Linked DNA regions of Oryctolagus cuniculus. The protein of the gene in region 2 interacts with the protein of the main gene of each other region in a biochemical or structural test. Links are inferred from orthologs where the notes say so. Each region holds a gene or a part of one and is shown on either strand. Other genes may lie near its edges. The genes, in order: E3 SUMO-protein ligase RanBP2, RANGAP1 and USPL1.

Evidence for each region.
Region 1: the proteins of RANGAP1 (region 2) and E3 SUMO-protein ligase RanBP2 form a complex in vitro, tested with the Homo sapiens proteins (5 studies listed by BioGRID and IntAct, with this or other methods). The link is inferred for Oryctolagus cuniculus from reciprocal best matches to the Homo sapiens genes RANGAP1 and RANBP2.
Region 3: of the proteins of RANGAP1 (region 2) and USPL1, one has a biochemical effect on the other in vitro, tested with the Homo sapiens proteins (2 studies listed by BioGRID). The link is inferred for Oryctolagus cuniculus from reciprocal best matches to the Homo sapiens genes RANGAP1 and USPL1.

What each region holds. Positions count from the first base shown.
Region 1 is NC_091433.1:100,110,066-100,120,636, forward strand, and holds the start of E3 SUMO-protein ligase RanBP2, read right to left. Parts: upstream 5,637-10,571; 5' UTR 5,499-5,636; coding exon 5,427-5,498; intron 4,835-5,426; exon of another isoform or gene 4,724-4,834; intron 1-4,723. UniProt on the Homo sapiens protein: E3 SUMO-protein ligase which facilitates SUMO1 and SUMO2 conjugation by UBE2I. Involved in transport factor (Ran-GTP, karyopherin)-mediated protein import via the F-G repeat-containing domain which acts as a docking site for substrates.
Region 2 is NC_091442.1:117,322,620-117,332,534, forward strand, and holds part of RANGAP1 (ran GTPase-activating protein 1), read right to left. Parts: intron 9,856-9,915; coding exon 9,796-9,855; intron 7,955-9,795; coding exon 7,775-7,954; intron 3,961-7,774; coding exon 3,826-3,960; intron 2,388-3,825; coding exon 2,229-2,387; intron 1,317-2,228; coding exon 1,203-1,316; intron 538-1,202; coding exon 438-537; intron 357-437; coding exon 272-356; intron 1-271. UniProt on the Homo sapiens protein: GTPase activator for RAN. Converts cytoplasmic GTP-bound RAN to GDP-bound RAN, which is essential for RAN-mediated nuclear import and export. Mediates dissociation of cargo from nuclear export complexes containing XPO1, RAN and RANBP2 after nuclear export.
Region 3 is NC_091440.1:83,981,725-83,992,130, reverse strand, and holds the start of USPL1 (SUMO-specific isopeptidase USPL1), read left to right. Parts: upstream 1-3,292; 5' UTR 3,293-10,406. UniProt on the Homo sapiens protein: SUMO-specific isopeptidase involved in protein desumoylation. Specifically binds SUMO proteins with a higher affinity for SUMO2 and SUMO3 which it cleaves more efficiently. Also able to process full-length SUMO proteins to their mature forms.

The DNA.
Region 1 (10,571 bases), on a different chromosome or scaffold from region 2:
TGCTTTGGTGGTTTTTCTCCTGCTGTCGGGTGCTTTGGGGCCACCTTTATGGCATAGTCACCTTTACCCTACTACCCACTACCCAGGCATACTGTATGTGTGCCAGTTCATACCTCAGCCACTCCACTGCCAATACTGCTATGGCCTGGGAAAAGCAGTAGAGGTTGGCCCAAGTACTTGGGCCCCTGCACCCACATGGGAGACCTAGATAAAGCTCCTGACTCCTGGCTTTTTTTTTTTTTTTAATTTTTTTTTTTTTTTTTGGACAGGCAGACTGGACATGAGAGAGAGACAGAGAAAGTTCTTCCTTTTCCATTGGTTCACCCCCTAATGGCCACTGCAGCCAGCACTGCGCTGATCCGAAGCCAGGAGCCAGGTGCTTCCTCTCGGTCTCCCATGCGGGTGCAGGGCTCAAGCACCTGGGCCATCCTCCACTGCACTCCCGGGCCACAGCAGAGAGCTGGCCTGGAAGAGGAGCAACCAGGACAGAATCTGGCGCCCTGACCAGGGACTAGAAGCTGGGGTGCCGGCGCCACAGGCGGAGGATTAGCCTAGTGAGCCGCGGCACCGGCCGACTCCTGGCCTTTGTGGCCACTTGGCAGTGAACCAGCAGATGGAAGATCTCTATCTCTGTCTCTCCCAACAAATGGAAGATATCACTCACTCTGTAACTCTTTCAAATAATAATAAAAAAACTTTTAAAAAAGGGCTCAGCACTGAAAACATTGGGGAAGAAATGAAAAAAAAGTTTGAGGCTCAAGTCACAAATTCCAAATTTTACTTAATGTGGATATCAGAAAGAAAACAGGAGAAAAAAAGCAAAGTTCAAAGAAATAATACGCCAGAACTCTAAGTTGAAGCTTCCAGAGAAATCTATAAATTACCAAAAAAATCAGACTTATAATAAAACTATCAGAAATGGAGAAATGCTCTTAAAATTGAGAAGTTATTTTGAATCCAGAATTTGATAACCAAATTATCCATCAAAGTAAGTAAATGTTTCTCAAACATACAATTAAAAAAAAAAAAGAAACCAGCTCTCATCCGTTCCTTCTCAAAGTACGATTATCCTACTCCAAAACAATGAAAGTAAATCAAGAAGACATAAAGTACAAAAAACACATGGTCTAACACAAAAAAAGAGGCAAAGGAAATTATCAAGGTGAGGATAATGGGATGTCCCAGGACCACAGCTGTGTAATAAAGAGAAAGAAAAAAACAGTCAATGCTGTGGCAGTAAAACAATGTTCCAAGTATAAGAAAACTGTTTTAGAAAAATCTTTTGGCTGAAATGAATGGGATTACGTGCCTGTTAGACTACACTTCAGAGTTTAAAACTGAATAGTTTGAGTAAAGAATTAGCAATACACCATAAATAAATCAAAATTTAAAGCAAGTATTAACTCAGGAAAAATGAAACTACACACAAAGGCAAATTAAACACAAAAATATTTGTCTGTAATTATATAAATGCTAAACACTAACTTAGCCAAAAATTGCAAGAATGAGGGAGAAACAAGGAATGCCTGTGGATAGAGTTCTAGAGGAGCACAACAGAAAGCATCTGAAATAGAAGAAACAGAATCAAGAAATAAAAATTGGAGGCCACAACTGTGGCATATCAGGTTAGGCAGCTGCCTCCGACACCCCGGCATCCTGTAGGGGCATGGGTTCACATCCCAGCTGCTCCACTTTCTATCCAGCTCCTTGCTAATGTGCTTGGGAAAGCAGCAGAAAATGGCCCAAGTGCTTTGGCCTCTGCCACCCATGTGAGAGACCCAGAAGAAGCTCCTGGCTTCAGGCCAGCCCAGCTCTGCCTGTTGCAGCTATCTGGGGAGTGAACCAGCAGATGAAGATCTCTATGTCTCTCTCCCTCTAACTCTTTCAAATAAAATAAATAAATCTTTAAAGAAAAAAGTAAATCTTAAAAAATATATATATATATACATGGAAACAAGCCTAGAAGGTGAGACCTCCACATCCCACACCAGAGTGCCTGGGCTGATTCCCTGGAGGCACTGCTGAGATTCAAGTAATCAGGTTCCCGCAAACCCAGGTGGGGGATCCATCGCGAGTTCCTAGTCCTTGCAAGCACCTGAGATTATCAGCAGATGGGAGACCTCTGGTGCACACATGCTGTCTCTGTCTGTCTCTCTATATATAAAATCAGAAGTATGAAGTATAGATGTAATTGGTAGAACAAACCACCAAGTTAGTACTGTCCAGCAGCATCTAGGAGTAGAAATCAGGTGCAGAATGGAAACCAACCAGACAGAATCTTAGGACAAAAGAAATTATATGTAAAAAGCAATATTACAGAAAGAATAGTTTCAACAAGGACAAAAGTAGATGTGAAGAAGCAGAAACATGGTACAGCTACAAGCACATGAACAAATGAAAACTCAGTGAAGACTAGGAACATATGAGATTCTACACGTATCAAGAAACCCCAGAGCTCCACATCCTAGGAAGTACAGTCAGTTCACGAATGGCCAGACTCTGCCAAAATGAGAGATTAAGCACTAACCTCTCTCCATTCTTTTATTTTCAAAAAATGCTAAACATTTATTTATTTATTTATTTGAAAGGCAGAGTTACAGGGAGAGTGAGACAGAGATCTTCCATCCACTGGTTCACTGCCCAGATGGCCACAACAGCCCAGCCTGGGCAGGCCAAGACAGGAGCCCACAACTGCATCCAGGTCTCCCAAGCGGATGCAGGGGCCAGGCACTTGGGCCAGCTTCCGCTGCTTTCCAGGTGCATTAGCAGGGAGCTGCATGGGAAGCAGAGCGGCCGAACTTGAACCAGCACCGGGATACTGGATGCTGAAATCGCAGGAAATGCAACCTGCTGCACCACAATGCCAGTGCCTCTCTCCCCACTCTTCACAGCTGCTGCTGCCCCCTCCACCAGCAAGCCCCTTCCAAATTATCCAACTCACCCTATTTTGACATTGCATTCAGATCTAACTTTAGAAAATACCTTCATGGGCTGACACTGCGGCACAGGAGGCTAACCCTCTGCCTGCAGTGCCAGCATCCCATATGGGTGCCAGCTCATGTCCTGGCTGCCCCCTTCCGAAAATGTCTTTAAAAAAATACAGAAAATATCTTCACACATTGTAAAGTTACATACTAGCTACTTCATATTTTGCTGAAGTTCTCAGGCATCCACTTTAAGAAAAATACCCAATTAAAACAATATTCTTCAAGTTTGAGAGGTGGCCATAACTAATCCTCTTTATCTGACAGAAATTATATAGTAGAAATACTCTACCTTCTGTCTCAAACCGTGTTTTTTTTGTTTGTTTGTTTTTTGTTTTTTAATTTCTTTGAAAGAGTTACACAGAGAGAAAGAGAAGCAGAGAGAGAGGTCTTCCATCTGCTGGTTCACTTCCCAATTGGCTGCAACTACAGGCGGCAGCTTCTTAACATTTGAGAGCCAAGGTCCCCACTAAGAATCTCATGGAGGGGGGCCAAAGCCGCTGCCTGCAGTGCCGGCATCTCATATGGGCACCGGTTCGAGTCCTGGCTGCTCCACTTCTGATCCAGCTCTCGGCTGTGGCCTGGGTAAGCAATGGAAGATGGCCCAAGTCCTTGGGCCCCTGCACCCACATGGGAGACCCTGAAGAAGCTCCTGGCTTCTGGTTCAGATCGGCACAGCTCCAGCCATTGTGGCCAATTGGTGAGTGAACCAGCGGAGGGAGAACCTCTCTCTGCCTCTCCTTCTGTAACTCTTTCAAATAAATAAATAAATCTTAAAAAAAAAATCTTATGGAGATGCTAAACTTGCTTCAAAAAATAAGAACAAAAAAAAAAGTATACCAGTCTTAGGAGTTACAGAAACCTTCAACAAGGTTCTAACACTATTAACACATTCATACTTAAGACTATGCAGGGGCAGGTCTGTGATACAGCAGGTAAAGCCACTGTCTGCAGTGCCAGCATCCCATATGGGCAGCAGCTGGTATAGTCCCACCTGCTCCACTTCCAATCCAGCTCCCTGCTAATGGGCCTGGGAAAGCAGCGGAGGACGGCCCAAGTGCTTGGGACCCTGAACCCACACAGGAGACCCGGAAGAAGCCCCGGCTGCTGGCTCAGAACAGCCCAGCTCTGCCCCTTACAGCCATTTGGGGAACGAAGCAGCGGATTGAAGCTCTCTCTCTTCGAGTCCCCAGCCCCCACCAACTCTGCCTTTCAAATAAATGAATAAATCTTTAAACAAAAACTATGCCAGCGATTTGAAATGGCATCTGCACGTAGGAACCTATGTGTCTTCTCCAGAGAGACAGACTATAGGCCGTTACACTATTCCTAAAAAAGCCAATCAGACCCACTGCCAACACCCTGCTGAGCCATCCACTTGGCCCTGGACAAGTACCTTCCCCGTCTGCAGGACTCAGTATTTAGTTATTGGAGCATAAAGTAAGATAACTAGGCTACGATACAAGGCACGTTATGTTGCACTGTAATCATGATCAACCACTAATATGAGAACTCAAAGTTCGTGGGAAATGCGTGTTATGGAAAAAACCATACAAAAACTTTACAACTTTTCTGCACCCAACACAGACTTCTCGTTTCCCGCACGTCCATGCAGAAGCAGCCGTCTAGACCTTCACTTCCAACATCAACACCACCAGCGCCAGGAGATGCAGCTGACGCCCATGTAGGGCTGACGGCGTGCCAGGCGTCGTTGGAGGTGTTGGGCACCGACCACGCACCTCATCAAGCCCGCTTTACAGATGGGATACTCAACGCGCTCTCCACCTGCGTCTGCCAGGGCAGGGTCGCAACTACTCAACTGCAGGCAGACCAACGAGCCGGCGCGCGCCCACCGGTGGTAACCTGCCCCACTCCCCGCCGCCGCCTCCAAGTAATCCAGGAGGGAGAAACGTGCTCAGAACTGGCTGTCGGGAAAAAGACTTGCAAACTCTGAGCTCAGAGCACCCCGTCTGTAAAGGGGAAGCGGCCGCAAATAAAACAGCAGCTTGCTCGGCGTGCGGGGCTGAGAGGACTGCGCGTGGTCACCCGCGCTCGGGCCGCAGTCCAGGGCGCCTGCCCGGCCGCGGCAGCGTCACAGCGGGGACAGCCCGCCGCGTTCCAACAGCCGCCCTGCCCAGAGGCGGCCGCAGCGGGACGGCAGAGCCCGCCCGAGGCGCCAGCCGGGGGCCCGGGCAGCGCGGGCCGCACGGAACAGGCCTGACGAGGACGAAGGCCCCCCGCCCCGCCCCAGGAAGCAGGCAACGCCGACGTCCCCCGCGCCCCCACGCCCCTCCCCGAGCGCTCCCGAGCGCCGCGCCGCCCACAGGGCAGGGCGAGCCGCCCCGGACCTCCGCCGCACGCGCCAGGGAGCGGTTGGCGCCGGGAGCCATGGCGCCGGCGCCGCCGCTGGGCCAGGGCCCGGCCTCTCCGGACACGACTCACCTCTCGCGGCGACGGGGCGGAGCCCTGCACCGAAGCGATATACCGCTCCACGTCGGCCTTGCTGCGCCTCATCGCGCCGCCGACCGGACTCCCGGCGAGCGGCCGGCAGGCGTTAGGCCCCGCTGCGGTCGCAGGGTCCAGCAGCGAAGCGCTTGAAAACCCGTGACGCAGCGCAGTCGCCGGCGGAGGGGGCGGGGCGGCGTGCGTGCGTGCTGCGTCATCGCTGTGCGCCACGCCATCGAGTGCGGCGCTCCCGCCTAGAACTGCCGGCCGAGGGCTCTACCCGAGCGGGCGCAGCCGGGGTGGCCGAATCTGAGGCCGATTCTCCTGCTTGCGGCGGAGAGCCCGGTGTTCACCGCCGCGAGATAACGTTTTACCTCGTGGGTTCCTAAGAGCGTTCCGTGTTTGGCCTTAGTTAAAATCACGTGATGTTGTGGAAGGAAAAAGATGTCGGGCCATTTTGGTTGAGCCTGTAAATTGGCGCAATCCTGGAGGTGATTGGCTAAAGTACATCGTGTGGGACACATGTGAATACGAAGCACTTATTTTAAAACGTATGCGTTTAAAAAGATAGGCCACAAATACTATTTTTTGGCGGATTGCAACTTACATTTCAGTGGCCGAAGGACAGGACACATCGAATTCTTGATAGTACTAATCCTTTTTTCTTTCTTTCCTTTTTTTTTTTTTTTTTTTTTTTTTTTTGACAGGCAGAGTGGACAGTGAGAGAGACAGAGAGAAAGGTCTTCTTTTGCCGTTGGTTCACCCTCCAATGGCCGCCGTGGCCGGCGCACAGCACTGATCCGAAGCCAGGAGCCAGGTGCTTCTCCTGGTCTCCCATGGGGTGCAGGGCCCAAGGACTTGGGCCATCTTCCACTGCTCTCCCAGGCCACAGCAGAGAGCTGGATCGGAAGTGGAGCTGCCAGAACATGAACCAGTGTCCATATGGGATGCCGGCACTGCAGGCAGCGGCTTTACCGGCTACTCCACAGCACCGACCCTGAGTAATCTTTATCCGTTTTGGATTTTCCGTGTTTTCTATATTGAACAAGCATTACCTTTATGAAGAAGAAGGAAAAACAGATCTTTTTCTTTATTTCAATCTTTGTGGTAAGAAAAGATGATTCTTGGGTTACCAGTGTGACTGCTGTACTTTAACAAATAATATGTAAAGAGCATCTAGCTTGGGATGGAATATCCTATTTTAGGTAGCTGGTTTCTTTCCCTTGAGGTGAAATACATAGAGATGGAGTTGGCCTCGTATGTAGATGAAAGGATAAGACAAAGATCTGTGACAGACTTGGAAGTCAGAACCCTCAGGAAATAAGTGGAACTACAAGTTAGCCTTGGGAAGTATGTTGGTAAAAATAGCCGTAACTAACAAGTAAACACTTGCTGCTGCAGGCTCTTTTCATAGCACTTCACATGCATTAACTCTTTTAATTTTCCCAATGACTTTCCAAGTGTACTGTTATTTGTTATCTTATGTTTTCCAACAGACCAAGAAAATGGGCACTAAAACAGCTTGCCCAAACACACTCACCTAGTGAAAAATACTGATCTTTGTTAAGTTGAACATACTGAGAAGTGGACCAAGGAGAGAACCTTCATGAGGAATTCAAAAAACCTCTTAGGACCAGCGCTTAACCTCGCAGTGAAGAGGTCCATATTGTGGAATACCTGGATTCAATTCCCAGCCCTGGCTCCGGACTCCAGTTTCCCCCAGTAGACCCTAGGAGGCAGCAGTGAGAGCTCAAGTAATTGGGGTCCTGCTACCCCTGTGAGATACCTGGATTGAATTCCTGGTTGCTGGTTTAAGCCTGGCTCAGCCCCCAGACATTACAGGCATTTGGGGAGTGAACCAGCAGATGGGAGTTCTCTCTCCCTCTAGGCAGTTCATATATCTGCATTTATTAGGATAGTCATATGTTTTCTTCATTTTGGCAACAAGTTTGTCAAGTGGTATAATGTCTCTACCGAGGCATTCAAAATTCACTTACATTATTGTCCTGTGATATACAGAAGACTGTTCCTAGATTATGCCCCTTTGACTTTATGATGGTACTAAAGTTATATGTGTGCAGTAGAAACTGTACTTTGATTTTTGATCCTTTCATTAGCTGGAGATATGCAGCACAATACTGTCTCATAACACTCAACTGTAGGCTGCAGGCAAGTATCCGGAGCAAATGTAAGGCAGGCAGCACTGAGCCATGTTGTTCCTCAGTAGGTTAGTTGTATACAATGCATTTTAGACTGATACTTTCAATTTACGATGGGGTTTATCAGGATGTAGCCCCATTGTATGTGTATAAGTGTCTATTCTATCATTTTGCAATTGCACTTTTCCAACTTTATGGAAATATAATTGACAAAATTATGTATTTTTGATGCACAACATAATTTGATATATTTGTAGATTGTGAAATAATTACATCCAAGCAATAAACATAGCCTCCACATCCTCTAGTTATGCTTTGTTGTATGTAAACGGTGTGAACACTGAAGATCTCTTTTAGCAGTTTTCAAGAATACATTAGCTAGGGGCCGGTGCTGTGGCATAGCCAGTAAAGCCGCTGCCTGCAGTGCTGGCATCCCACATGGGCGCCAGTTCAAGTCCTGGCTGCTCCACTTCCTATCTAGCTCTCTGCTATGGCCTGGGAAAGCAATAGAAGATGGCCCAAGTCCTTGGGCCCCTGCACCTGCATGGGAGACCTGGAAGAAGCTCCTGGCTCCTGGCTTCACATAGGCACAGCTCCAGATGTTGAGGCCAGCTGGTGCTGTCTACACATCTCCAGAACATGTCCACCCTGAGCCTTTACTTTGAGCAATGGCTCTCCATTCTGTCCACAGTTACCACCAACCCTGGCAACCACCATTCTGCTGTCTGCTTCTGAGTTCAGGATTTTAGATTTCACATACAGGATCATATGGTATTTTTCTCCTCTGTGTATAGTTTATCTCACTTAGCACTGCCTGCTGGGTTCATCCATGTTGCATATGACAAAATTTCCTTTTGTTAAAGGAAACATTGATTTCATTTTATTTGGATATATACCCAAAAAGGATTGTTGAAACATATAATTCTATTTTCATTTTTTACAAATTTTACAAATATTTTCCAAAATGTGCTAATTTACATTTCCACCAACAATGTACATCCCTTTTCTGCATATACTTATCAGCACTTGTTATTTTTTGATAAAATAGCCATTCTTTTTTTGTATTATTTTTATTTTTTGCCAGGCAGAGTTAGACAGTGAGAGAGAGAGAGAGAGAGAGAGAGTTATAGACAGTGAGAGAGACACGGAGAGAGAGGTCTTCCTTCCATTGGTTCACTCCCCTGATGGCCGCTATGGCTGGCGCTGTGCCGATCCAAAGCCAGGAGCCAGGTACTTCCTCCTGGTCTCCCATGCGGGTGCAGGGTCCAAGCACTTGGGCCATCCTCCACTGCCTTCCCGGGCCACAGCAGAGAGCTGGACTGGAAGAGGAGCAACCGGGACAGAATCCAGCGCCCCAACCGGGACTAGAACCCAGGGTGCCGGCACCGCAGGCGGAGGACTAGCCAAGTGAGCCATGGTGCCGGCCAAAATAGCCATTCTAACAGATGTGAAGTGATACATAATCATGGTTTTAATTTATATTTTTCTGATGATTAGTGATGTTGAGCATAATTTCATATACCTAATAACCATTTGAATATCTTGAGACATGTCTATGCAGGTCTTTTCTTCATTTTTAATAATTTTTTATTTTCATTGTCTTAAAAGGCAGAGAGATAGAAACCTACCATCTGCTGGTTCACTCCCCAGATACAAAGCCGGAGCTGGGCCAGGCTGAAAGTTGGAGCCCAGAACCCCAGCAGTCTGCGACCAGGGTGGCAGGGATCCAAGTATTGGGGCTGTCATCTGCCTCCCAGCATGCACATTAGCAGAAAGCTGGATCAGAAGTGAAGGAGGGGCCAGCGCCGTGGCTCACTTGGTTAATCCTCCGCCTGCGACGCCAGCATCCCATATAGGCGCCAGGTTCTAGTCCCGGTTGCTCCTCTTCCAGTCCTGCTCTCTGCTGTGGCCTGAGAGGGCAGTGGAGGATGGCCCAGGTCCTTGGGCCCTGCACCCCATGGGAGACCAGGAAGAGGCTTCAGGCTTCTGGCTTTGGATCGACGCAGGGCGCCGGCCATAGCGGCCATTTGCGGAGTGAACCAATAGAAGGAAGACCTTTCTTGCTCTCTCGCTCTCTCTCTTTCACTGCCTATAACTCTACCTATCAAATAAAAAAAAAAAAAGTGAAGGAGTGAGGCACTCAAATATGGAATGCAGGCATCCCAAGCAGTGACATATTTTCAGTGCTAAATGCCCACCCCTTGTTCATTTTTAAACTGGGTTGTTTTCTTACTATGGAGTTGTTTGAGTTCCATAAGTATTTACGTATTAACTCTTTATCACATGTATGCAAATATTTTCTCCCATTCTGCAGGTAGTCTCAGTCTGTTGATTATTTCCTGTGTTGTACAGAAAATTGCTTTTCAGTTTGATGCAAATTCATTTGCCCATTTTTGTTGCCTGTGGTGGAATCTGACCCAAGAAACTAATGTCTTTGTATTTTTTCTTCTAATAATGTTATGTAGTTCTGTGTCTTCATTTATAAGTCATCATTTAACAGTTTTTTTGTTTTTGTTTTTGTTTTTTTTTTTTTTTGTAGAGTCTAAAATGCATTGATAGGCTGGTGCCGTGGCTCAATCCTCCACCTGCGGCACCGGCACCCCAGGTTCTAGTCCCGGTTGGGGCGCCAGATTCTGTCCCGGTTGCCCCTCTTCCAGGCCAGCTCTCTGCTGTGGCCCGGGAGTGCAGTGGAGGATGGCTCAAGTGCTTGGGCCCTGCACCCGCATGGGAGACCAAGAGAAGCACCTGGCTCCTGGCTTCGGATTGGCGTGGCACACCGGCCGCAGCGCGCTGGCCGCGGCGGCCATTGAGGGTGAACCAACGGCAAAAAGGAAGACCTTTCTCTCTGTCTCTCTCTTACACTGTCCACTCTGCCTGTCCAAAAATAAATAAATAAATAAAAATAAAAAATAAAATGCATTGATAAAGCTTTAAGCCCAATTTTTCAACAAATATGAGAATCAATTTGTCCTTCCAGGCATTA
Region 2 (9,915 bases):
CGGCCCTCTGTGCCAGCTGCTGCTGGGTCAGGACCAAACCTGACGTCACTTCAGAGGCCCCTGGCTCACCCACTCCTAAGGGTGGCCATGCTCAGCCCTCTGTGTTTCTTTGCTGAAGACACAATTCCTCTCTCCGCTTCCTGCGAGTCAGATGTCCTCAGACCTCCCACGCCTGGCACAGAGCCTGACCCAGAACAGAAGCTCAGTGACACGGAGAGTGGCCACGAAGGAACAGGTGGCCTGACAGCCCCCGCCCCCCGGAATTCCCTACCTGAGGGACGCCAGCACCTTGGCCATGTTGAAGCTGTCCAGCACCTCCTGCAGCTGTTCACAGCCTTCCTCTCCCAGGGTGTTGCCTGCTCATGGAGAAAGGGGCTGGTCAGGACAGCACCAGGCCAGCCTGGCGGGTCTGTGCCCAGGCCGCCTGCCCTCACTACCATTGAGATCCAGCTTCTCCAGCTCAGTCTTGTCGGCCACGGCCTCGGCCACTGCCACGGCAGCATCTCTCTTGATTTCACAGAAGGACAAGTTCAGCTCCTAAAAATAGGAGGAAGTGGTGGAGGCAAGCAGGAACTGGGCGGAGAGACAGGTCCTGCTCTGAAGCCTCAGCCTCCCCGAGGGAAGAGAGGGCAGGCTCTGCCCTCCAGATTGGCAAGGGGGCGAGAACAGCAACACACACAAAAACACAATGCCACACACGCAACCAGGTGCCAAGGGCCAAGTGTGTTTGCCTCAACTGAACCACACGTAGAACATCCTTGGGAACACCAATGTTTCCAATTTCAAACGGTTTCAGATTTTGGACTACTTGCATACACGCAACAAGATTTGGGATTGATACCCAAACGTAGACATGAAATTCATTTGCTTCATGTACACCCAAAGGTGTACATGGTCATTTTAGGGTGCCTGCGTTTTGATGGTGACCCATCCCAAGCTCAGCTGTGGTGTCACACTGGCATTCAAAAGTTGTAGAACTTGGAGCACCTGATTTCAGATTAAGAGCACTCAGCCTACACAATGGTGCACATCACACCTTCTTCTGGTTTTACAGGGAGGGGAGGAACGTGCACAAAACCGCAGTGGCCGGGAGAGGAGCTGGGGTATGGACCCCGGCCCACCAGCCTCCCCACCAGACCCCACCCCCAGCATGGGGGAAGCCCAGAGGCTGGGAAGAAGACAGCAGATGGCACTGGTGATACCTTGAGCTTGGGCAGACCCCCACGGACAGCATCTGCGATGGCAACGGCACCCTTGGAGCGCACAAGGCAGTCCCCAAAATTGATCACCTCCACCTGCCGCAAGGTCTTCAATGTCTGCAAGGAGGAAGGGTCCAGGCCTCACCCCAGCCCTCCCTGCCCCCATCAGTCACCACACGGCATCCTCTCTGTATCCTGGTCTGGTTACCTCCACACCCCACTAGCTCTTCTCATCACCTCCCCATTGGCCTCCAGGGCCAGCCCATGCCTCGTGTTGGAGCACAGATCTAATCACTTCACACCACTACTGGACCTTCCATAGCTCAAGGAGTTAGCAAGGCTACACAGTCCTGCCTCTCCCCCTTCATCTCTGGCCTGGCCTTGCGAAGCCAGGACCAGGCAAAGCAAGGCTCCCTCCTGAGTCCCTGGCTTCCCACAAGCCCAGACGCCTCTGCCTGAAACCCCCAGTCCCACCTTCTGTAGCATCTGTGTGTCTTGTACAATGTAGCCAAAATGGAACCTCTTCCAGGAAGCCCAGGACACACCTGACCTGATCTTCACTCATGTAAGCTCCCCAACATCTGCCGCCACAGCAACAGGGTGAGGCCCCTGCAGGGCTGTGGAGCCCTCCCCACCGGGCCTGGCATGCAGGTAGCCTGCCTGTCACTGGTCAGCAGTTTCCTCCCCTTCTTCAACTACAGCTCCTTGAAGGCACTGGTTCAAAGCCAAGCACCGAAAGGGCTCAATAAAACCATCTCTGAACAAGTCAATGAGGAAGAGACAAGCACGAGCAGCCTTCTCTGTGCCGTCTGAGTACAAAGCAGCACCCCCAGAGCTGCCCACGGAAGGCACAGGCTTCCCCGTGACACGTGACCCTACTCTGGACGTGTTCACACGGGCTGGGCCCATGGGGTGCACACCAGGTGGGCAGAAAAGTGAGGGCTAAACAGCCACCTGCAAATGAAGCCCAGGCAGCAGCCAGGCCCTGCCCCACGGGGCTGTGACCCGGCTCTGCCACACTTGCCTCACCTCGGCCATGGCCACCCCCCCTTTCTCAGTGAAGGTGTTGTCGTTCAGGTTGATGACCCGCAGCAGGGGGTTGATGGCGAAAGCCTGGGCCAGGGCTGTGACCCCAGGGTGGTTGATCCCATTCTGCGGCATGTGGACCTCCTCTAGAGTCCCGATGATCTGTGAGGGCAGGAAGGAGAGCAGAGTGTTGGCCCCCAAGTGACAGGCACATCGGCGGTGGGAGAGCGGCTCCACACAGCACGCATGCGGAGGGGCTGTCGCCAGCACCAGGCAGGGCTTGTCTGTGGGTTCGGGGGGCAAAATGGCAGGCGATCCTCTCCGCAGTCTCACCAAGGTGGAGTCAGGATCCCCACCAGTAAGAGGAGAAATCAAAAAGGCCAAGTGACTCGCCCAGGGTCAAACAGATCTGGAACCAGATTTCATTTTTTTGGAGTAGCTGACAGAGAAAGCTCCCATCTGCTGCTTCACTTCCCAAATGCCTGCAATAGCAAACGCTGGGACACAGCAGAAGTTGAAGCCACCAGCCAAGAACTCAATCCAAGTGTCCCACATGGGAGGCAGGGACCCAACAGCTTGGGTCACCAACACTGCCTCCCAGGGTGTACGCCTGCATGAAGCTGGAATCAGGAGCCACAGCTGGGCCTCACACAGGCACTGCCATGTGGGACGCGGGCATCTTAACCAGGTCTCAGTGACGAGGCTTCACGCCCAGCCCAAACTCCAGATTCCCCAGTCCTCTGCCCTGGGGACATGGGCTCAGTCCTCTGGGTGACGCCCTCCTCCACCGGCATTCTACAAGCCACGTCCTGGGAGGTGAGGAAGGGCTCCTCTAACCCACCTGGCCCTCTCTCATTCCGGCCTTCTGCCATCCCCATCTCTGCTTATAACAGTTCCCTCCTATTCTGCTGCATTCTATGCACTCTCATGGTGGACACTTCTCCCAGGAAGGCTTCCTGGATTCTCGTCCAGTGCTCTTCTTCCACATCCCAAGTATTTGAGTCTTCCCCTCCGGTGGGGTTCCTCATCCTGCATCATCAAAGCCTACGTTCTCACCTGTACACCGTCAACCCTGAGTGAGTTCTCCAGAGGCCCATATCCCGCCTTCACTGCTCCCTGGGATGGGGAACAGGCACTTCACTGCACCTGGGCCAGTCTTGCTGTCCTGGGTGCACGGCACAGCTGGGAGTGGGGGCGGAGTGGTCACAAGTAAACACTGGGGGAGGTCACCCAAGAGTGCTTCATTGGCTGGGGCCCCTCAGAAGCTCCTCCCAGTCTCCTTGTCTCGGGCAAGTGGGATGCGATCCCTCTCTGCAGTCCACACAGGGAAGCCGTGCCAGGCTCCTCAGCTCTAACTCCGTCTCGAGCCTTCACAGTACTCTCACACAGAGCTTCGGGGAGCTGCTAGCGGCTCGCCCCAGATGGTGAGTGTGTCTTCTAGACACGCACATTTGCGGGGGAGTGAACAAGCTCAGAGAGGGTAAGTGACCATCTCCACTGGCTCAGCTAAATGCCGGCGCTGGGATGCACAGCCGAGACTCTCAGCTTGGTAGGCCTAGCCAGCATCAGTGCCTAGGGCACGACAGACAGGAACACTCACCCCAAAGGCTTCTGCCAAAGCAGTCGCCCCATCGTTCTCCAGACGGTTTCTGCCAGCCATGAAGACCTTCAGGGCCAGTGGTTTGCCTTGGCTGCTGGATTTCCGGTAGCACTCAGTCAGAGCTGCAGCCAGGATCTGCAGGCAAAAGCAAGGGGAACAAGCCATGGGCAGGGGGCCCTCGTCCCTGTGGGGCCCCCACCGTGTGCATCCTGCGCACCCACTGGCAGTGGGTGTGCGGCCAGATCGCGCCTCATCTGGGCCCCAGACTTCACAGTTTACATCTATCACTTGGTTTGTGTGTTAGCCTGTGGCGCTCAGTCTCAGGGAGTCCGAGGGAAGAGCCAGGGCAGAGTCACCCGGCTTTAAGGTCCGGGGGGGGGGGACTCCCCAGTTAGCTCACTGCACCGGCAGAGCCTCTGCTAGCTGGGACCATGGTCACCCCCGTTGTCAGCTGAAGAACTGGGGCTCACCAATACTGCACAGACTGGCCTGGCTCCTGCCTGAGCCCACACAGCTGCCCTGGAAGAATGTAAGGTCAGCACACACCAGCTCCACAGTGGTGGGGTCGTGTGCATGCACAGTGCAGAAGCATCAGACTCTCTAAGGTGGCTCACCCTGCTTGCCCCTTGTTCTGCTGAGGCCACCATGTGGAGGGCCTTGGCTCCTGCAGGACTCCAACTTCCTGACAGACCTTGGATCTAGGGCCCCTCCAATTCCCATGGTGTGTGGCCCACGGATCGCACTTCACACACACAGCCTGCTGGGAACAGCTGCCAAAGGACCTGAGGCCTGCAGCCGCCAGGACCCCAGGACTCATCAGATCAGTGGTGAGGGGGCAACAGAGAACTGCAGTAGTCTCCTGTCATTCAGGGTAGCCAACCCTGGCCTGAAAATATCACTGTCTTAACCCTGGCCCCAAAGTCTGCAATTCTGGCAATTCAGATCTGACAAAGAGAAGCCGCAACACTTCTGTCGAGTGAAGAGGTGGAGCCGCCAGGACCCCAGGACTCATCAGATCAGTGGTGAGGGGGCAACAGAGAACTGCAGTAGTCTCCTGTCATTCAGGGTAGCCAACCCTGGCCTGAAAATATCACTGTCTCTTAACCCTGGCCCCAAAGTCTGCAATTCTGGCAATTCAGATCTGACAAAGAGAAGCCGCAACACTTCTGTCGAGTGAAGAGGTGGGGTCACTGTGGCACAGCGAATGACAGCATCCCGTATGGCCCCCACTTCAAGTCCCAGCTACTCCGTTCTTGATCCAGCTCGCCAATGTACCTGAAAAGCAGCGGAAGATGGCCCAGGTACCTGGGCCCCTGCCACCTTCACAGGAGACCTGGATGGAGTTCCAGGCTCCTGGCTTCCCCCTGGCCCAGCTCTGGCTGTTGCAGTCATTTGGGGAGTGAACCACTGGATGAAAGACCTCTCTCTCTCTTTCTTATTTAAAAAAATAAATAAAAAGTGAAAGCTCCTAAGGAAAAAAAATGTATGGTAAGATTTATAGTACAATATTTTTCAGACAGAGTGATCACAGGCAATTAACTTTTAGAGATTGATTTATTTATTTAAGGCAGTTATTTATTTACTTGAGAGGCAGAGAGAGAGAGAGAGAGAGAGAGAGAGAAGGAAGGAAGGAAGGAAGTCTTTCATCCACTGTTTCACTAACCAGATGGCTACAACGGCCGGAGCTGCGCCGATCCGAAGCCAGGAGCCAGGAGCTTCCTCTGGTCTCCCACATGAGTGCAGGGGCCCAAGGACTTGGGCCACCTTCTACTGCTTTCCCAGGCCATAGCAGAGAGCTGGATCTGAAGTGGAGCATCCAGAACTCGAACTGGCACCCATATGAGATGTCAGCACCCATTTGAGATGCCGGCACTGCAGGTGGTGGCTTTACCCACTACACCACAGTGCTGGCCCCAATTAACTTCTATTATAGTATGCTGTTTTAACTTTTTTAAAAACAGATTCATTTATTTGAAAGACAGAGTTACAGAGAGAGAGAGAGACAGAGTCAAGAGCAAGAGCAAGAGAGGTGTATCTTCCATCTTTGGTTCACTCCCAAGATGGCTGCCACAGCCAAGGCTGAGCCAGGCTGAAGCCAGGAGATTCAACTAGGTCTCCTTTTTTTTTTTTTTTTTGTGACAAGCAGAGTGGACAGTGAGAGAGAGAGAAACAGAGAGAAAGGTCTTCCTTTTTGCCGTTGGTTCACCCTCCAATGGCTGGCGCGGCCAGTGCACCGCGCTGATCCGATGGCAGGAGCCAGGTGCTTCTCCTGGTCTCCCATGGGGTGCAGGGCCCAAGCACTTGGGCCATCCTCCACTTTACTCCCGGGCCACAGCAGAGAGCTGGACTGGAAGAGGGGCAACCGGGATCAACTAGGTCTCCTACATGGGGTGCAGGGGCCCAAGTACTTGTGTCATCTTCTGCTACTTTTCCCAGATCATTAGCCAGGGAGCTGGATTGGAAGTGGAGCAGTCAGGACTCGAACTTGCACCCACATGGGATGCTGGCCTTGTGGGCAGCAGCTTACTGCACCATAACACCAGAACCTGTTCTTTTTTGCTAATCTCTTATTCCTAAATGAGAAATGGAATTTTGTCACAGGTATGTATATAGAGGAAAAAACAGAGTATACATACATGGCTTTGGTACTGCCCAAGGCTACAGGCACTCACCAGGGGTCTTGGAACAACAGTCCATGGCTAAATGAAGTTACTGCACAACTCAAATCCCAGCATAGAGCTGGTCTACAGAGGAGGCCCTGGTCCTGGGGTTCCAAGGTCTCTGCGTTCCCAACTCCTATGCCCACCACTCAGAGTGGGATAGGCCATACAGCCACTGGGCAGCTGGGGAAGCCCTGCGTGTGCTTCCTGGCAATGCTATGCAACAGACAGGAGGTGATGGGAGCACAGGCAGGACACGCTATAGTGTCCCTGCTCTCGCAGCAGGCTCCTCTGGGTGGGCGATGAATTCTCTGTGAGGAAGTGAATGCTTTTATGACATCTCTACACGTGGACTGCTTACCGTCCAGCTAGGCTAGGAGAAGGGATGCTCTCCCTCCTGTGGGGCAGGGAGACAGGCACATCCTGTGGGGGTGTCCACTCTGGCTCCAGCCTGGGGCACTGCAAGCCCCACCCTGGCAACTCTTGTTGCTGTGAATGGAGCCTTTGGATGAGGTTTTAAGCCCCACAATCAGCCCCACCTCTCTGAGCCCATCTACTCTCTGGGGAGAGGGAGGCAGCAGTGTGGGGGCAACTCATGTGTCTCATTCACCTTCACACCCATGTCCCCAGCAGAGAGAGAGAAAGAGAGGGAAGGAAGCAGGAGAGGAGGGAGGGAGAGAGGGGAAGGGGGAAGGGGAGAGAAGGGAAGAGAAAGAGAGAGGGAGAGGGAGAGGTGGGGGAGAGAGAAGAGGAGAGAGAGAGAGAAGAGGAGAGAGAGAGAGAAGAGGAGAGAGAGAGAAGGGGAGAGAGAGGGAGGGGAGAGAGAGAGAGAGAAGAGGAGAGAGGGAGGGAGGCAGGGGGAGGGAGAGAGGAAACAGATCGACTCTCAATGGGTCCAGGAGAGTAATGAGGCCAGCCTGTCTGGGTGTGAGTTCTGACAAGCAAAGCTTCTTTCTACACCGACCAGACCAGACTGACTCGTGGCAGGACAGGGCGAGGCACCTGCGGCAAGGCCCCACCCAAGGACACAGACAGGGGAGCTGGGAGCACCTTCCCAAGCGGCCCCTTTCTCCTTCTGGGCCTCCTCGCCCTGGCTCTGCCGGCTGCTCTGAGAACTCGGCAGGTGCAGGTATGCAGTGGCACTGCTCCCCGTTGCCAAGCCAACCCAGGAGACTGGGATGGTTGCTTAGCAACCCCTCCCTCATAGACTCCTCTCCCTCCCAGCCTTTGAGGCCTTTCTTCTTTGAAGAGAACAATGAGGCCTGCGAGCAGAGGACTGCGGCGCCTACCTTCCCGCCGCCAATGCCCATGCCGCAGTTGTTGAGCTTGAGCTCCTGCAGGCTGAAGCAGGCTGGGCTCTTGAGCAGGGCCTCGAAGCCTCGCACGCCATCGGGTCCAAACGCGTTGTCACTCAGGTCCAGCTCCACCAGCTGGGCCCCAGCTGTGACGAGTCCTTCCCCTAGGGAGATCTGGACAAGGGAACGCAGGTCACTTTCACAGCGCTGCCTCTGTGCTGGGCTCAGTCCAGCCCTCAGGGCACCCAGAGGAGGGGGCAGCAGGCAGACACAGCCTACTTCAGTGCAGAGCCTTCCAATCACACAACCGCGACTGGAAACCCTGCACAGGGCTCCTAGCAGCCAGGGAGTAGGGTCTGAGTGGTCTGGGAAGACCCCCTGAAGGAGGTGGCATTTGAGCTCAGTCTGGAGTCAGCCAGTCCACACGAAAGGAGGAGGGCAGCAGTAAAGACATGAGCGTGAAGCAGCATGCCGTGTGCCGGAGCAAGGAGCTGGTAAACCCGAAAGGACACCAATCAATGGGTGAGCTCTGGCTGGAAGCAAGGGGTCACATAAGGCAAGAGCCTTAAACACCAGGCCAGGAACTGGGCCTAAGCCTGAGAGCGAGAGACTCTGATGGCCACGGAACACGCAGGGAAGGTCCTTAAGGCAGACAGTCGGGCAGAGGGAGGCTGGAGGCTGTGCGCCCCCTGGGAGTACAAGGTGGCACTGGTTGGTGTGGCAGAAGTGAAAGAGGAACCTGGGCCTCCGTGCAGCGAAGGGAGGCTGCAGAAATGGATGTGGGGGGAAGGGGGCCCCACAAAGGCCTCCAGGGACTCAGCGGGTAACTGGGCAAATGGAGGTGGACAGGGACCGGATTTGGCAGGAGGACACTGAGCTCTCCTGGGAACCCCTCTGGCTGGGGACACCCACAGTCCCCAGGGAGATGGTCACGGAGAGAAGGCTCAGAGAACTGGAGGCAGAAGTGGGCTGGGCTGCAGCCGACAGGGACAGAAACACAGAGGGGAGGCCGTCCACACACAGACCGGGGCGTGGTTGCTGTGGCCGTTTCTACTGCCCTCCTCCCTCACTAAACAAGGGCAAGTGTTCTCAGGCTGCCCTGTGCTTGGTGATCTGGCCCCAACCAATGCCCAGCCCCTCACCCTCCCCGCAGGTCATGCCACCCTGACCTCTAACTCTCTTCTCCCTTCTCCAGATTCACTCTCACCGCCAGGAGCATGGAGATAAACCTCCTCAAAGCCTGGGAAGTTAAATGCTGCAGCTCAGTAAAGCATCTCACGCAGCAGAGTCCGGCAGCACGCGCCGAGCCGGGCCGTTCCTCCCTCTTCTAACTCAAGACCCTCTATTCGTAAGCACCCAAATGGATGCATTTAACCTGCATCCTGACCCCTAGCCTCACCTGGTCGTGTCCACCCCTCCAGGCAAGGGCCCTAACTCCAGCAGCTCTGAGGCCTCCTCTAACTTCTACCCAGAGAGCCTCACTCTGGGACCCTGACAGTGCCCGGCACCGTGGCCTGTGCCTGCAGAAGTGAGGTCAGTGCACGGGCGTGTCTGGAGGCCCTGTCCCGGATGGAAGGGGGAAGACCTGAGAAGGAGCAAGGGTGTGGCCCAGGTAAGGGACTCCACCACACCAAAGAGCCCGCTGACCCGCAGCAAACACCTGCCCCAAGCCCCACAAGTGGGAATCGGAAAGCGGAGGCAGAGAGAAGCAGAAAGAGGAAGCAGGGTAAAGGGAGAATCCACGGCCTCAGGGTGCAGGGGTGGTGGTGCCAGGAAAGAACGGCAGTTGTGCAGTACGAGTCAAACCCCCCAGCTCAGGAAGAACCCGGGACGCCCTAGCCCACCCCACTTCCTCCCTCTGGCTCCCTCCCGTGACCGCCTGTGCTCTCAGCAGCCCTCACACAGGGGAAACCCTGGTTTTGCATGACTTCCATTTCAGCATCTCAGCCATCAAGGGCTCAGCTTCCAGAAAGAACACAGTGTGAGGAGGGCTCCTGTGCCGGGCGTTCACTCACCAGGGCTGGCGGGATCTCGGAGCGCAGCCTCCCTGTGAACATATCGCTCCAGTGGCATCGCTGTGGCGGGACAAGAGAAGAGTTAGCTGCAGACCCTGGAAGAGGCCTGAATGGAGAAGC
Region 3 (10,406 bases), on a different chromosome or scaffold from region 2:
AGTACTTGGGTTTCTGCCACCCACATGGGAGACCTGGATGGAGTTCTTGGCTCCTGGCTAGGGCCTGGCCCTGCCCTGGCTGTTGTGGGCATTCGGAGAGTGAAATCAGCAGATGGAAGACCTCTCACTTTTTCAAGTGAATAATAATCAACATTTTTTAAAAATCACAAAATCGGGGCCGGCGCCGTGGCTCACTAGGTTAATCCTCCGCCTGCAGCGCCGGCATCCCATGTGGGCACCCGGGGTTCTAGTCCCGGTTGCCCCTCTTCCAGTCCAGCTCTCTGCTATGGCCTGGGAGTGCAGTAGAGGATTGGCCCAAGTGCTTGGACTCTGCACCCACATGGGAGACCAGGAGAAGCACCTGGCTCCTGCCTTCGGATCAGCGCAGCGCGCCGGCCGTGGCGGCCATTGGAGGGTGAACCAACCGCAAAAGGAAGACCTTTCTCTCTGTTTTCTCTCACTGTCCACTCTGCCTGTCCAAAAAAAAAAAAAAAAAAAGAGAGAGAGAGAGAGAAAACTATGCATCAAGGATCTTGAAATTTTTTGCTTTAATAAGTAAAATATTTGTAATGCCCTTGTATGATTACAGGGGTGCTAAGATGGGCTCCTTTAAAACATGGCCTCTTGGGGCTGATGCTGTGGCAGAGCAGGTGAAGCCACTGTCTGCAGTGCTGGCATCCCATATGGATGCCATTTCGAGTTCCGGCTGCTCCACTTCTGATCCAGCTCTCTGCTATGGCACGGGAAAGCAGTGGAAGATGGCCCAAGTCCTTGGGCCCCTGCACCCGCATGGGAGACCCAGAAGAAGCTCCTGGCTCCTGGCTTCGAATCAGCACAGCTCTGGACGTTGAGGCTACTTGGGTAGTGAACCAGTGGATGGAAGACTTCTCTCTCTCAACCTCTCCTCTCTCTATGTAACTCTGACTTTCAAATAAATAAATAAGTCTTTAAAAAAAAATGGCCTCTTCCCACCAGTGGGTACTATTCTAAATTCCCTTATTAGAGGTTAGTAGGTTCTATCAGAATTTTTCTGGGAGAAGCAAGAGCCTACCCTGTAAGTTCAATGCGTCAGTCTTACTGTACACAAGTCTGGCTCCTTTTCATTTTAGCTACTCACTACGCACTTCTGTATGCTAGGCAGCGCACTGAGCACCTTCAATCCATTACCTTGCTTAATGGCAACAGAATTCTGAGTGGGTGGGCACAACCCCATTTTACAGATGCGAACACTGAAAAGGTGACACCATTAAAGTGTTTGGCTTGTCCGGGATGACACATTTACCAAGGGGCAGAGCCAGGCCCGAAGCCCCTGCTTTTCACTGCTGTACCCCCTTTTCTACAGGGCCCTTCAGAGTGAGCTTTGGTGCACAAAGATCGGTGGAATGAGACGGCAGATAAGATGAAAAATAAAAACAAGAACGTTGAAGAATATCATACACAAGTTAATATTCTTTACATGAATCCGTTCTTGTGTTCAAGAAGCCAGAGGTCACGCACTTGATCTTAGTAGGTTTGGTCGCCCTTGGGATGTCAGCGGATAGCCACTGCCCTTTCCTGACCCACCAGGAAGGCGGTAAACACCTGGGCTTGATTCCAGGGAGGAGGGGGGAGGCAGAGAAAGAAGAGTGCAGGCCCAGTGCCTTCCGCAGACACAGGTCCCCAGCGGTTTTGTGTGTGCAGGACGGTGCGCTGGTTTTGGTGACTCACAAGCAGAGAGAGTGGGAGGGAAAGAGAAGTGTGAGGCCTTGCCCAGAGGCAGTCATTCTGCTTAAACAAGTACACTAACAAAGCAAGTGACAAATGATTCAGCGTCTCAGTCTCTAGAAAAGTCACTTGTGAATTTCCAGACACCAGTGAAAACTGTGAGGAATGGCTGAGCTGCTGCCACGCGAAACTGAGCTGTCGTTGAACTTGGTCTGCAGGAACTTTTTCAGTTTGAACTTCTGCATCTTATTTTATGATCACTTAGCTTTCGGAGAGCAATTTTGCTAAGTGCTTAACCTAATCAATCTGCATCCACACAGAGACGCATGGGGCTCTACTTACATGCCCTTCATGGAATTGGGCCTCCACAAATCTTGATCTTTTTACGTGGTACTCTGCTGATTTTGTGTGTGTGGCTTTCTTCTTCACTGTGTTAAATGTTCTGCCCCTACGCTCTAGGGACAATGAGAACAAAAGTGTAGCTTTGGTTACTTCTTATCAAAGGAAGCTCATCGCCTGATTATTCAAAGATTTAATTAAATGCCTACTCTTATGTGTGTGCTACAGAGCTAGACCCTCTGCGAAGTCACCATCAAATGGATAAGAGCCACTCTCCACAGAGATGATGGTTATATATTCCTTGTTTTCTGGAGGGTTCTAATTTCATGAAATTCCCTTGTTAAATAAAGGCAATTCTTCATGACCTAAAATGCTTTCATTTTCATATTTTTGTAAGATTTTTATGTACAAATTATTTCTCAGAAAAATAGAATCCTAAGTCCTTTAAAACTACTCTTGTTTAAAAGTCTGGCTCCTGAATGAATGTGTGCTTTCATTATAAATTCTACACTTATAAATTAGAATCTAACAGACTGAGAGTGCCTAAAAGATGGAAGAAGAATCTTACTCTTACTAGAGAGGCACAGTACTAAGGACATTTTTTGTGTAAATAATTATTTTATTCTGCAGGCAAAAATCAACATAGGAAGTTTGGTGACTTAAAGAAGTAATAAAAGTGTGGGAAAGTACTTCTTCCAAGATTGTCAAAAAAGAAAAAAAAGACAACGTTATTTTATGGACGATCTAGTTGCAGAATAAAACTCCACTATTAATAGCTGGCATTGTGCCTGGTGGCTTTGAAGCCACAAACAGGTTAATGAAAAACATTTGTTCAATCTGTTCAAATCTAGCGAAAATGAGGATTGTTTAAACAAAGAATGAAAATAGCTCAGAGAAGTAAAGATTAATAAAGGATATTGGCGTTTTGTAAGTATTACTTTTTATTGTTTTCTATAGTTTAGTAATAAGTTTAATATTTGCATTCCAATAATGTTAGTGAAATATGTATGTATATACATATATTTTAAATGATGTAATGGGAAACTGTGCTTACATTTGCTTTCAGTAAGCCTAGTGCAGGATAACCCTCATTGTATGTGCCATTGAGACTGTACCTGAAGCCGCTTCTACAAGGGGACTTCAAACAGTTCATGGAAAAATAAATTGAAAAGATTAGTTTATTTTGGTGCAAAAAATGTTGAAATTCATGCAAAGTTTTTCCATAACATGTATTTCTATGAAATTTTTACTTTTTATTATTTTTTTGAAAATTATTTATTTGAAAGGCAGAGACAGAAACAGAGACAGAGAGATTGCTCATCTGCTGGTTCACTCCTCAAATGCCTGAAATGAGCAGGACTGGGCCAGGCTAAAGCGCAATCCAGGTCTTCCACATGGGTGGCTGCATACCCAAGTATTTGAGACATTGCCTACTGCCTCCCTGGGTGTGCGTCCGTAGGAAGCTGGAATTGGGGGCAGAGCAAGGACTCCAACCACGCACTTAGAAATGGGATGCAGGTATTCCAAGCAGCACTTAATAGCTGTGCCAAATGCCCCCTCCCAACATTATTTTGAAATCCAAATACACTTATCTTTTAATTCCATTTTCAACAAACTTTCTGATTAGCAGGTATTACTTTGGGAGGAAATAAAATAGCTTTATGCCTAGTTTTGTAAGTTATGATGGAAGAGTACAACTTAAAGAATGAAATGTGGGGGCCGACTCTGTGGCACAGTGGGTTAACGCCCTGGCCTGAAGCGTCGGCATCCCATATGGACGCCGGTTCGAGACCCGGCTGCCCCACTTCCAGTCCAGCTCTCTGCTATGGCCTGGGAAAGGAGTAGAAGATGGCCCAAGTCCTTGGGGCCCTGCACCCATGTGGGAGACCCGGAAGAAGCTCCTGGCTCCTGGCTTTGGATCGGCACAGGTCTGGCCATTGTGGCCATCTGGGGAGTGAATCATTGGATGGAAGACCTCTCTCTCTCTCTCCCCCCTCCCTGTGTAACTCTGACTTGCAAATAAATAAATAAATCTTTTTTTTAAAAAAAGAATGAAATGTGATGTCACCAAGTATCAAACAGTCCTGGCAGAGGTGGAACTGTCCATGGGTATTAGGGTAAGTGGTCTTGATGTAAACACACAAATTAGGAAGTCCCTTACTTTTGTATTTGTGTTACAAGGCAACTGTTAACAGAATGCAAGAACACCTTAGTGATAAACGTTCATGTTGGCCATTAGAGACTTTTCAGTTGCGTTTTGTAATGGCAATTCTAAATGCAGTTCTCCACTTTATGATACGGGCTACTTGCTATGAAAATTTAAAAATTAAGTAAAATATTTCATCAACATTATTCTAACAATGGCAAAATCAGAATTCAAGATCTCACAATCACGGTAAGAATATTTTAATGCAACTCTGCTTATGAACTGAAATTCCCCTTAACTTTTTTTTTTTTAGTTATTTTATTTGAAAGTCAGAGTTACAGAGAGAAGTAGAGACAGAGACACAGAGAGAGAAGTTTTCTACCCACTGATTCACTCTCCAAAATGGCCACCATGGCCGGAGCTGAGCCTGTTTGAAGCCAGGAGCCAGGAGCTTCTTCTGGGTCTCCCATGCGGGTGCAGGGGCCCAAGGACTTCGGCCATCCTCCACAGCGCTAGAGTGGAAGTGGAGCAGCTGGGACTTGAACCAGTGCCCATATGGGATGCCGGCGCTGTAGGCTGGGGCTTTAACCTGCTTAACCACAGCACTGGTCCCCTCTTTTTTTTTTTTTAAACTCTTCAACCTTTTATATCTTGAAAACATTTTTTAGCATTTCATCAGAGCAAGATATCAGAAGGGTAAATCTCTTATCAGTGAACTTTGCTAATTTTGTGTAACTCCATATCAGGTTCGGTGAGAAAGTGAATGAAATATGTTTTTATATACTTTTGCTTTCCCTAAATCCTAAGCCCAGGCCAAAGAATAAGGAATTTTAGATATTATTTAAAGTTTTGGATTCAAAGAGAGCATGATTATGCTTCAAGGGCTTTTGGAAACTCAGTTTCATGAGAACAGCCCAGAGGGCTCCCACACTCTTGGCTTAATCTCACAGTGACCTAGCTCTCTATCAACAAAACTGCCTGGCTCCTGATCTACAGAAGCCAAGGACCGACAGTTTCACTTTCAGTTTTCTGAACATCGCTTGTTTCAGTGAACAGCATCGGAATCTCCACTAAACAGTGAATTGTAAGTTCCACTCGACTTCGGACTAAGCTCATTAATCATGGGAATTGGACGATGACTTCTGGGGTGGGGGTGGGCCTATGGTTCCAGGAAGGCATCTTCGAAAGTCAGAACCCACTCTGCAGTACGCTGTGATGCAGGCTCCTCCAAATGGTAGCAGAAACGTATTACTGTCTAGAAAGTCAACAGCAGGAATCCAATTGTGGGATTCCATAGAAACAAGGACAAATTAAAATAAATGTGTGTTTAGAAGAAAGGTGTTATTTAAAGGAAAAATATTGGGGTGGGCATTTGGTGCAGTAAAGTCACTGCTTGGGGTGCCTGGATCCCATATAGGAGCGCCTGGTTCGAGTCCTGGCTCTGCTCCTGACTCCAGGTTCCCGCTAATGCACACCATGAGAGGCAACAGACAATGGCTTAAGTAGTTAGGTTCCTGCCACCCACAAGGCAGACCTGCACTGAATTACTAGCTCCTAGCTTTGGCCTGGCTCAGCCCCAGCTCTTGTGGGCATTTGGGAAATGAACTAGCAGATAGAAGACCTTCTCTCTCTGTCTGTCTCTCTTTCTCTCTGCTTTTTAAGTAATTAAAAATAATTAAAACAAAATACTATAATCAAGGTATAGCTTCTCTGTACATTCTTTATGACTTTCTGTACATTTAAAAACCATAATTGTATTTTTTAATTTAAAGAAATGAGTGGATTACTTCAAAATAGGACTACATTTTTTGGTATGCTTTAAAAAATTAAAATAGTGATTAGTAGACTGACAGGCTCACATATTTTGGATAAGCTGTTGACTATGTACAAAATTTATCAATTATAAAAAACTGCTAACTATTAAAAACTTCAGGGGTCAGCACTGTGGCATAGCAGGTAAAGCCACCACCTGCAGTTGCCGGTATCCCATATGGGCACCAGTTTAAGTCTCGGCTACTCCACTTCTGATCCAGCTCTCTGAAGTAGCCTGGGAAAGCAGTACAAGATGGTCCAAGTCCTTGAGCCCCTGCACCTTCACGGGAGATCTGGAAGAAGCTCCGGGATCCCGGCTTTGGATCGGCCCAGCTCTGGCCCATTGTGGCCAACTGGGGAGTAAACCAACAGATGGAACACATCTCTCTCTCTTTCTGCCTCTCCTATTCTCTCTGTGGAACTCTGACTTTCAAATAAATAAATAAATAAATAAATCTTTAAAAAAAAAAGTCATAGAACTATAGTGACCAAATGAAGACTGGAAAAAAAGATAGTCAAATGATTCCAAAAAGGATGGATCTGGGGGTGAATGGTGCCATCAGTAATCACGCTCAAAGGGCAAACGGTAGCACAGTGGCTGAAGAGAGACTTGTGATGCCTACATGCCTTCTCAAGGGAGCCTGGGTTTGCATCCCAGCTCCACTTCTGCTTCCAGTTTCCTGCTAATGCACAGCCTGGAAATCTCAAGTACCTGTGTCCCTGCCACCCAACTGGGAGGTGGGGACCGAGTTCCAAGCTCTTGGCTTCAGCCTTGTTCATCCTGGCTTTTCTGGGCATTTGGGGAGTGAACCAGCAAACAGTCTGTCTCTTTCTCTGCCTTTCAAATAAAATTAAAATTAAGAGCAATATCATGCTCAAGATTCTGAAGTATGCAGATCTGGGTTGGGTGGGTGAGAGGGAAAAATAATGACCAAATAGTCAAGGTAGATGTGAGATGCCCAAGGCACCAGGGAGAGAATCTTCCAAGTACAACAGAAAGGCCACATTCCCTGCAAAACCTTATCCAGCACCCTTTCCTCCAACTGGAACAGTTTCCCTTCTGAGTTTTCACAGCACTTTGTATTTCTCCAATAGCATAACTGTATACTGTTAGAGGAGGCAGTTCTGTGACAGCATTACAATTTTATAGTTAATTCTGTGGTTCTCTCGTTGCACCAATCACTTTTACCATAATTGTTCACAAGTTTTTCTATTCCTTTTACCATCTACTCCTCAACCCCAAGGCTTGCCTTACTAACTTATCTGTTCCTAAGCCAATGCTTGAAGTGTCTCTACATAGTAGAGGCTCAATGAACACTTGCTAAATGAATCCTCTTATGATAACAGCACTGTAAACAGAAACCCAGTCAACATTTCTTCTTGCTTTACTTTTCACAGAGTGCATTCATTTAATAAACATTCATCGAGAACCTACTAATTTCCATGAACTATGCTAAAAAAATGGGACTATAAAGAGGAACGTGATGAGGTCCCCAACCTACTGAGTGCCTCAAACCAGTGTAGCATTATGGGCCCAAATTTTCATGGAAAGGCTTCTGGAGATAAGATTTCATCCTTGGAATAACGCATATTGTGGGCTGTGCAAACCTTCTGGGACCTTTTTCTGGTTTGTTTTTAAACATTTATGTATTTGAATGGCAGAGTTACAGAGCGAGAGAAGGAGACAGGGAGAGAGGAAAGAGAGGGAGAGAAAGATCTTCCATCTACTGGCTGACTCCCCAAAACAGCCACAATGACCAGGACTGGGCCAGAGTCTCCCATGTGGATGGCACGGGTCCAGCCACTTGGGGATCTTATGCTGCTTTCCCAAGTACATTAGCAGGGAGCTGGATCAGAAGTGGAGCAGCCAGGACTCAAACTGGCACTCACATGCAACACAGGTCCCAGGTGGAGGCTTAACCTGCTGCACCACGACACCAGGCCCTTCTGGCACTTTCTGAAGCTATGCTATGCTTACTTACTTTGCTACAGGGACAGAGGGCTGTCCCTGATGCAGAAGCTTACACCAGTACAGCTACACATAAAAATTCCTTTTATGATGCTACAAAGCTTTTTAATTTAATGCTTACTAATACCTAGCATGATCTATTTTCCACATAATATACCCTCTGTCATATGCCTATACTACTAAAAATTCTATTAATCCTAGTACCAAAGATGTGTGTTGGCAAATCAGTTATTCTGTTTAATTTTATCTTGCTTGATATGTTAAAATCTACCAAAAATACAAATTCCGAGCAAGAGCTTCTGCATGGTGTGCATTTATGTATTATTCTTAAATGTTAGCTTATACACTTTTAAACTATAGAATAATATGATGGGGAGAAAATAGGTTTTTTATCAAGTCAAATTCCTGTTTATGTAGCTGGAAACAAAATAAGAAAGCAATTAACATACAAGCTAAGATGGTGACTACTCTAGCTTTTGCTTGCTTTTTAAAATTTTCAATTGAGGAACACAAAGTCAGTTCCCACGTTTTCAGCAAGAACTGAAGAACGCACGTGGGCATTCTTGACAACACTGGCGTCACTAACACATTCGCGAGTCTCATGGTTCACGTGACATCATTCCTGTCCATAGCGACAGGCTGTCCACTCTCACCCAGGGGTGACTGTGTTCAGTCTACCGATTCCACTGTGGTGCTGAGCACAGTGGGTCCTGGGTAACAGATGTGCAACATGTCCGTCACTCACTGACTCACAGCATCAGCTGTCCATTACTGACAGAAATTTTCACTGGGGATCTAGGTGGCTAATGGCGATCCTGTAAGGGAAGTCCCTCCTCTTCATGACTCGTAATGACGTTTCTCAGTGTCAGGCCTATGACAACATACTAAGTTAAAATCAATTTTCTTTCTTTTTTTATTTTTGACAGGCAGAGTGGACAGTGAGAGAGAGAGACAGAGAGAAAGGTCTTCCTTTTGCCATTGGTTTACTATCCAATGGCTGCCGCGGCCGGCACATTGCGCTGTAAAATCAATTTTCTAATAATATGTTATTGCTCTGTGTATAAAATGGGGTTAATCAATGGTGGAAAAAAATAAAAAGGGGTCACATTAAAAAATGTGTGCTCGCGGAGGCCAGTGTTGGGGCACAGTGGGTTGAGCTGCTGCTTGTGATGCCAGCATCCTGTATCAAAGCACCCGTTCTAGTCCCTGCTGCTCGGCTTCCGATCCAGCTCCCTGCTAGTTACTGTGCCTGGGAAGGCAGCGGAAGATGGTCCAAGTGCATGGGTCCCAGTCACCCATGTGGGAAACTCAGAAGTTCCAGGCTCCTGACTTCAGCCTGGTCCACTCTGGGCCATTGCAGCCATTTGGGGAGTGAATCAGCAGATGGAAGATCTTTCTCTTTCTCTCTGTCTCTCCCTCTCTATCACTCTGCTTTCAAATAAATAAATAAATAAATCTTAAAAAAAAATTTGTGCCCAGGCTGTAACAGCTGACAGCAATGTAATAACGTAATGATGTGCCATTTCTACTCCAACTATAGTAGACAAAAATTCCTGTTTCCAAGCCTTCGTCCACTGATCAATTTTCTTATCACTATTCCACACCAACACTACTATTTTCTCTTCTAGGGCAAGGTTTACACATTTTATACATGACTTCTTCCCTTACACACATGCATAAACAGAATTTTGATGTTTCTCTCTCCACTTTATTTAGTGTAACTGTTTTACAAGTTAGGCTCAATTTTCAAACCCTACTTCAGTGGATTTTATTTGTTCTATGGTAAAAAAAAAACACTGGACTGAAGTTGAAAGGCCTGGGAGGCCTAAATTCTAGCTCTGTGTCTTCTGGGAAAGGGACAAATCACAAGGCTTTGCAGGGCTTCGGCTTCCCGGCTTGTAAAATGAGAGGATTACAGAATCATCTCCCTGGTCCTACTGGCCAAGAAAAGGCTCTGATTCCACGACTGTTCCTCTTCCTTAGCTAAGACCACAAATCTGACGCACGAGAGTCTGCAGAATTTGAGTGTCAAGGACTCCCTATTGTTGAAACTCTCTCTCCCTTCAGATGCAGGGATAAAGGTCTCTTTATTTCTTGAGTCTTCTTTTGCTGTTCTGCTTGTCTCATAAATATTTTGCCATCTCAGCACTCCCAGCTATCTCTTCGTTCACTCTCGGTTTCCCTAGGGGATCTGACCCAATCTGTGGCTTCAGCCGCCATCCACACACACCATCGCCTCTCTTCACATCAGCAGGGCCAGCTAAGCTCCTGCAAAACTTTCCAGAGATTCAGAGATTCAGTCAAGCCCACCGCACTGCCACTCACCCTGCCAACTTGCTGCTGCTTCTGAGCCCCCTGTGAGGAACCCGAGGACCACTCTGAACTCTTCCTTACCCTTACTTTTCGCATCGGAGCAATCACCAACTTGTCCTGATT